2 linked regions of the Sus scrofa genome follow. The protein of the gene in region 1 binds, or shares a complex with, the protein of each later gene. Links are inferred from orthologs where the notes say so. Each region holds a gene or a part of one and is shown on either strand. Other genes may lie near its edges.

Region 1 (4,276 bases):
GTCCTAACCACTAAACCACCAGGGAACTCCCAGGACCAGCTTGCTTCTTATACAAGGAGCTCCAAGTGAAGAGTTGGGATTCGAACTCCGGGTCCTTCTGGCTCTGTGGCTGGGGCTGTAAAGAAAGCCTTGGCCTGGGACGTGCCAGTCCCTGCCTCTTCCCCAACAGCAAAGGATTCTAGGTCCTAGTCCGCCTCCATTTCCCAAGCAGAGTGGTGGGGACCCCCCGAAGGGGCCAGCTCCGACCCAGACAATAATGGCCAACAGGTTTCACCCTCTTGCTACCCAATATGGCAGCCACTGGCCCCACATGGACACAGCACTTAGAATTCGCTATTCTGAATGGACACGTGCTGTCAGTGTAAAATGCATACCGGGTTTTGGAGACTTAACATGAGAGGAACCATAAAATACCTCTACAGCTTTTTTCTTTTTTTAAGGGCTGTTCCCGGGCCAGGGGTCAAAATGGAGCTGCAGCTACTGGCCTATAGATCTTTTTCGAAAAAAATTTTATGGCCGCCATCTGTGTGTGGCATATGGAAGTTCCCATGCCAGGGATTGAAACCGAGCCACAGCTGTGGCAAGCCAGGTCTTTTAATCCACTGCACCGGGCTGGGGAACAAACCTGCACCTCCGCAGGAACTCGAGCTGCTACAGCCAGATTCTTAATCCTCTGTGCCATGGTGGGAACTCCTCAACTACCTCCGTACCTTTTTTTTTTTTTTTGTCCTTTGTATTTTTAGGGCCACACCCGCAGCATATGGAGATTCCCAGGCTCGGGGTCTAATTGGAGCTACACCTGCCAGCCTACACCACAACTCACAGCAATGCCGGATCCTTAACCCACTGAGCAAGGCCAGGGACCAAACCTGCACCCTCATGGTTCCTAGTTGGATTCATTTCCACTGAGCCAGGACACTGGAACGACTCCTCTGTAACTTTTTATACCGATTACAGACTAAAGTGATACTGCAGATATACTAGGTTAAATAAAACATGCTACTCAACTATACTTGTTTCTTTTTACTTTTTAAACTTAGTTACTACAAAGTGTCACAGTGCACATTTATGTATCTGTGGACAGTCCTGCTTCCAGGCATTAACTTGAGTCTTCCCCACGTTCTGGAACAGGCTGCGCTATCAATCAGAGGCCCCAAAGCTGGTGAGCCAGTACCTCAGAAAGGATGTCCACCAGGGCCTTCTGGGGCTGCTCCTGCAGGTGGTTGTAGTGCTGAGCCAGGACTTGCAGCAGCTTCACCGACTTCATCAGCACCTCCGAGTCCTGGGACCCCCCCAGAAGGGGACAGGGTGTCAACAGGGCTCTGCCACTCCTCCAACTCCCAAGCTAGTCCACACGCGCCCTGGGATCCCCAAGGCTCTTACCTTCACCAGCCTGCCTGACTGAAAGAGGGCTAGCACCCCAAACAGGTTTGCAAAGAGAGCTGGTCTCATCATCCCCTGGAAAAGGATTCCAGGCACTGGTGAGAAGGGCCCAAGCGCTCCCCACCCCGGGGCTGCCGACTTCCCTGGGGCCACTAATTCTCACCTTCTTCACCTTCTGCAGGTTATACTTCTCCTGTATCTGCTGCAAGATGCTGCAGAGAGGGATGTCTTCAAAAGACTGTAACAGCTGCCAGGAGGAAGAGAGGGGCTCAGGGGAGCGGCCCAGCCACATCCCTCAGACCTCAACCTCCTCCCACTTCTCCCTTCAACTTCTGCCCAGAGTCCATGGGCCCCTGCTCCCATCCAAAGGACGCCTCAAAAGCTGCCTACGCCCCACCCCATGCTGGGCAGTGCTGACGATGGAACACTGCAGTGAATGGAGAGAAATCTTGCCTCCCTGTTTCAGAAAGTACTTCCTTTAGCCCCTGGACTGTGCCCCGAGATCCCCGAGACATTCTGCCCCAGAGCCTGCTGAGCTCCCCCCAGGCTGATCCACAAGGACTGGGTGGCCTATAATTAGCCAAGTGGGGGGGGCGGACCCTGAACCCTAAAAAGGTAAGTGAACCCACTCCAAAGCTTACTGCCCACAGTAAATGTACCTTGGTGGTTGGTGAACCCATGTACTCAAAAGCAAACTCACCCTCCCACTCCACCTGCCTGGGCGTCTCTGCAGAAAGATCTTGCTCACACACTCTCTCCACGTCCACGTGGGGACACCCTCCATTAGCTCCGACGCCACCCCAACAACCTCTCAGCAGCCACTTCCCCCGTATCTGCCCTCCTCACTCCCCACCGCTCCGAGTAGGATGGCTGGCCTCCTCCAGGGAGCCACCACCTCACCTGTGCTAGGGCCAGACTGTAGCAGGGCCGGGCTGTTTCACGTCCGACCCCGAGCCCGGTGATTAGGCGCTTCAGGGCGTACTTCATCTCGGACGATCCCTGAGGAACCAAGCACATCCCCAGGTGCACCAGGGAAAAGACGCGTCAGGCACCCGCCCATCCTCGCGCTTCGGCGCGCATTCGCCTCGGCCTCCAGGTTCGCGACTCCATGACCCCAGTCCCGAGTCCTGGGGCCCGCCGCCATATTTTTGCCGGGATCTACGCAGCTTCCTGCCCCCAAGCCCCGCAGATTCCTGCCCCAGGCCCCGCCACCACACCTTTGGCCTTGCGCGCAGATACTCCAGCAGCTTCTCCGTGGCCTCAAGCCGCGTCTCCTGCTGCGGCTTCGCAATGTCCCAGAAGAAGTCCAAGAACTCGCGGCTGTGCTTCAGCAGACCATGACGGTCGGCAGGCCCGGCGCCCGTCTTCGGGACCTCCACCGGAGACACAGGCTCAGCGACGTCCATACTCTCCGTCTCCGCCATGCTCGTGGAACACGTGGGACCTGAAGACTGCCTCTTCCGGGTCAGGTCGCGGCGCGTGCGCACTGGGTTGGGTCGGCTGGGGGCGGAGCCGGTTGGGGGCGGGGGAAAGGGCGGGGCCGGGCCGGGCCGGGGGCGGCTGGGCCCTTCCGCGCTCACTCAGGGAGCTCAGGAGTTTGGATTTTATTCTGATTGTAATAGGAAGTCATTGGAGGGTTTTATGCAGGGACAAGTCTTGATCCTATCCATACTTTTAGCAGACTAGTCTTCTTTGTGTGGGGGATGGATTGCAGGAGAGCAGGGGTGGAAGCAGGAAGACCAGTTGCACAGTGGTGGATTGGACCAAGGTAATATGAGAAAATTCCAGCTAATTTGGAGCTGGTAGAAGGTGATGAAAAAGAGAAGGATGATAGGTTTGGGGCCAAAATAAGTGGGTAGATTGTGAGAGTTCCCCTTGTAGCTCAGTGGCTTAAGAATCTGACTAATATCCGTGAGGATGCAGGTTTGGTCCCTGGCCTCATCCAATGGGTTAAGGATCTGGTGTTGCCGAAAGCGGAGGCTTTAAGTCACAGACACATCTTGGATCTGACGTTGCTGTGGCTGTGATGTAGACCGGCAGCTGCAGCTCCCTCCGATTTGACCCCTGTCCTGGGAACTTCCATATTCTGGAGGTGTGGCCCCTAAAAAAAGAAAAACAAAGAAAGTGGGTAGACTGTGATATCATTTACTGAGCTGGGGGAACTAGTGTTTGTGGGGGGAGCAAGGAGGGAGAGGTGGTGGGATCAAAAGTCCTCTTAGATCAGAGATACCGTTTACAGTGCAGGAGAGGAGAGCTACTGGCCACCCCTATTTCTTGGCTTGACAAGCTGTCTCTAGAGGGTTATAGTTCAGAGAGACCCCAGCCCTTAGGGAGGCAGGGAGGGGAGGGCCTTGGCTACCCAGATCCGGCCCCTTTTGTGGCCCCCGGGGCACCTCCTACTCACCCTCTCAACCCCTCCCTCTGCTGTCTGTTTCAGAAAATGTGAATAAGCAGTTGGGAGTTTCCTTTGTGGTGCTAGCGGTTAACGAATCTGACTAGGAACCATGAGGTTGCAGGTTCGATCCCTGGCCTTGCTCGGTGGGTTGGGGATCCGGTGTTGCCGTGAGCTGTGGTGTAGGTTGCAGACGCTGCTCGGATCCCACGTTGCTGTGGCTCTGGCGTAGGCCGGCAGCTGCAGCTCCGATTTGACCTCTAGCCTGGGAACGTCCATATGCTGCGGGAGCAGCCCTAGAAAAGGCAAAAAGACAAAAAGAAAAAAAAGAAAATGTGAATAAGCAGTTTACTTTGTACACATGGTGCCTCAGGAGGCAGAAGGTAAGCAGAACAGGGGGGGAGCAAAAAATCACCAGGCACCAGCTCTGCATCTGTGGGCGAAGCCTGGACCACAGGCACCTCAAAAGCTGATGTGAAATTAACCAAGCAGCAGGAAGGG
Region 2 (3,650 bases), on another chromosome or scaffold:
GTGGAGGATTAGAGGGATGGCAGTTAATCTCTCATCACTGTATGTACTTTGATTTTTTTTCCAACAGCCACCAAAAAAGACAGCCAAAAAAGAAAAACCCAAACAGAAAGCCACTTCTAAAAGTAAAAAATCTGTAAAAAGTGCTAATGTTAAAAAGGCAGATAGCAGCACCACCAAGAAGAATCAAAACAGTTCCAAAAAAGGTACGTTGGAAATGAAACATTTTCAGCAACTATAAAGATATAACTTATGTGCCGCAACGTAGTTTTAAGCCTGTGTGAAAAATAGCTAAACTGGAGGACACTGGGGGGCAGTAGTGTCCCAGTTTTTATAATTTTTCAAAATTGACAATTCCAGTGCATGTTTTATAGGTAATGTAGAGTGGTGATTTATAATTTTTTTGATCTAATCTCCTTTGAGCTTCTGGCGAATACTTACAGAATTGTTCTGTATCTTGAATGTTAATTTATTATGTACAAATATTTATTCTCATGTAATAAAATCTTACTTTTAGAAAGTGAATCTGAAGATAGTTCAGATGATGAACCTCTCATTAAAAAGTTGAAGAAACCGCCTACAGATGAAGAGTTAAAGGAAACAGTAAAGAAGTTATTGGCCAGTGCTAACTTGGAGGAAGTCACAATGAAGCAGATTTGCAAAGAGGTGATTGGGCAGATGCTGAGATCATTTTGCTTTTATTTGATCATTCTTTCACCCATCCCTCAATTCAAAGCTAGATTCTTATGTATATTCATTCATTGAACAAATGTTTATTGAACATGTCAGTTCAATAAATATTTGCCCCATTGGAGTCATTTCATAAATAACAGTAGAATGCACACAGTGACCTTTAAGGTGATACATTCCAAACTTCATAGGAAATGTTCTCGTCCTCATCTGGAAACTATTTTTATTGATGTGTCTCTAGGTTATGTTTTTAAAAGCAGAATCTTGTGGACCCCCTTATTTTCAGTGTTACTGTGTTAAATGAGATCTTGTAGATTAGGTTTTTAGCTCAAACTTCTGTGAAGCTCTTTTGTTACTTCTCAGGAAATAAAGTGATCTAATCTTGAGTATGATTCCATAGAGATTCCATATTCTAGATCAAAACTGGAAGATTTCAAAGCCTACTTTTCATAGTAAAATGAAATTGAAATTTGAAAGGTACCAAAGGGGAAATATTCTTTAAGACATTGATTATTGTTTTGTTTCCTCATTCAGCATTCACTGAGCCTCCATCAGGCACCAGGATAGATGTTAGAGGTCGAACTGCAGAAGCCGTTACTTGGCTTCAGTGGTCTTGTGGTCTCGTGGGAAGAGACAGCTGTGTAGTCACTGGAGTATTGTGTGTGAGAGCTGTGTTATAAGAGTGTGGAGGTGCCACTACCCACAGGACAGAGTACCTGCTTGGGACTAGGAGGTGGGGATCTGAAAAGGCGTCTTGGAGCTCCAGCATTCATACTGTTAAAGACTGTTGACACATCCACATAAAATAATGACTATGAGGAATAGTCATTAGTTTAATTTGGCTGAAGACTAGAGTTGGAAGGAATTCTTCGCAGAAGTTAGGAAAGAACACTGAAAGTTTCCAGATTTTACATATGACTTGTTAAAGAATTTGATTTTCTTCGGGAGGCTAATGGGGAATTGGGAGTCTGAGTAGGTTATTGAGAGCTGTTTGGCAGGGACATAACACCATCAGATTTTTTTTTTTTTTTAAGAGTCATCCTAGACACATCAAGAAGAACAGACTGGTAAAATAGGAGATGAGAGGCAAGAGAAACCCAGTTTACATCATAATCAGAGTTACAGGTTTACTATAGTCCAAGTTTGAAGTCAGGAGAGCCTAGTCACAGGTTGCTTCCTTGTGGGTAGGAAGGAAGGGCTTGGGTGCATTAATCAGAGTAGGGGATAGAACCAAAAGAAGCCTTAGTTTTTGAGGAATCGAGTTTTGCTCTAGACATTTTTAGATGGGGTTCTTGAAACATACAAGTGGGAAAAATTGTGAACAGTATAATTCTACAGGTAGGAGAGAAACCTAGACCAGCCTGTTCCTGGAAGTAAACCAGAAGTATAGGTGAGGTGGCCCAGCGAAGAAGAGGAAGGGTGAGAAAAGCAAAGGACAGAGTCCTGGAGACCATTAACAGCATCAAATTGTTGAGAAGTAATTGCTACAAAATACAAGAAATGTAGTCAGTAGTAGAAGGCAGGCCAGAGAGAGTAGTGGTTTAAAAGCCAAGTGAGCAGAGTTTCACAAAGACAGTCAGGAAGGGGTAGTGCCAAGTAGGAAAAAGTATTTGACTTTAGACAGGACAATGGCCATGGAAAGGCAGTTCACAGGAAAGAAACATAATGACCTGTAAACATGAAAACAACCTTCCCTACTCCTGAGGAAGATAGAAATGGAAAGGAAATGTTTTTGTTTATTAGCTTTAACAAAATCTTTATAAACAGTTTTCAGGGTTGGCAAGGGTAGAGGGAAATAAACTCTCATCCTTTAAGCTGTAACAACTTGGGAGAATAATTAGGTGGTATGTTAAAATTTATTTTTATTTTTAAGATTTTCGCTTTTTCTATTCTAGTTGATTTACAGTGTTCTCTCAATTTCTGCTCTACAGCAAAGTGACTCGGTCATACGTATACACACACACACACACACACATTCTTTTTCTCACATTATCCTCCATAATGTTCCATCACAAGTGACCAGATATCATTCCCTGTGCTATACAGCAGGATCTCATTGCTCATCCACTCCAAATACAATAGTTTGTTTGCATCTATTAACCCCAAACTCCCAGTCCATCCCACTCCCTCCCCCTCTCCCTTGACAGCCACACGTCTGTTTTCCAAGTCCATGAGTTACTTTCTTTTCAGAAGATAGGCTCATTTGTGCCATGTTTTAGATTCCAGATATAAGTGATATGTGGTATTTGTCTTTTTCTTTCTGACTTAATTTCACTTAGTATGAGAATTGTTGGTTCCATCCATGCTGCTGTAAATGGCATCACTTTGTTCTTTTTTATGGTGGAGTAGTATTCCATTGAATATACCACATGTTCTTAATCCATTCATCTGTCGTTGGACATCTAGTTTGTTCACATAAGAGCCGTTTTGAAGGGTGGTAAATGCAAGAGTTATTTACCCTTGGACTGAGAATTAATAGTTGAGGGAAAGTGAATGAATTAAAGCTTCTGTTTTAGTAATGAAATTGGGGGAAGATACAAGTTGGTAAAAACTCGATTTTAAGGTCAGGGAGGGAAAGCAGAAGCATGTGTTGGGCTAAGGGACAGTGCTGGGATAGGAGAAGCTGAGGTATAGGAGCCCTAAGGGTGGGTCTCTGCAGACGTAAAGGAAACGGAACTGTTGATGAATCCAGATACGAATGAACTGGTGAGAGGAACGGGTACATCAGAAAGGGGAAGGAACTCATAGTAATGGCTTCTTGGCTGAGAGCAAGAGTGTGGGACACTGGAATAAGGGGGTGAAATTGCCACTGATGAGAATGCAAGGGGACCTGATAAGAATTCCTTGGGATTTCTAGGGAGCCTTTGACTTCGAATACCATGAACTTAAAAAGGGACCATTCTTTTCAAAGTTAACCATAGGAAAGTTGGAAGTTGGTAGTTAGACCAATTCCGGGTTGGAAT

What was found. The genes of interacting proteins can lie anywhere in the genome.
Region 2: MYBBP1A (region 1) and DEK share a complex: the UniProt entries of both Homo sapiens proteins name them as parts of the B-WICH complex. The link is inferred for Sus scrofa from reciprocal best matches to the Homo sapiens genes MYBBP1A and DEK.

What each region holds. Positions count from the first base shown.
Region 1 is NC_010454.4:50,503,221-50,507,496, forward strand, and holds the start of MYBBP1A (myb-binding protein 1A), read right to left. Parts: upstream 2,857-4,276; 5' UTR 2,808-2,856; coding exon 2,601-2,807; intron 2,383-2,600; coding exon 2,284-2,382; intron 1,631-2,283; coding exon 1,547-1,630; intron 1,459-1,546; coding exon 1,384-1,458; intron 1,283-1,383; coding exon 1,175-1,282; intron 1-1,174. UniProt on the Homo sapiens protein: May activate or repress transcription via interactions with sequence specific DNA-binding proteins. Repression may be mediated at least in part by histone deacetylase activity (HDAC activity).
Region 2 is NC_010449.5:13,904,461-13,908,110, reverse strand, and holds part of DEK (protein DEK), read left to right. Parts: intron 1-67; coding exon 68-203; intron 204-514; coding exon 515-663; intron 664-3,650. UniProt on the Homo sapiens protein: Involved in chromatin organization.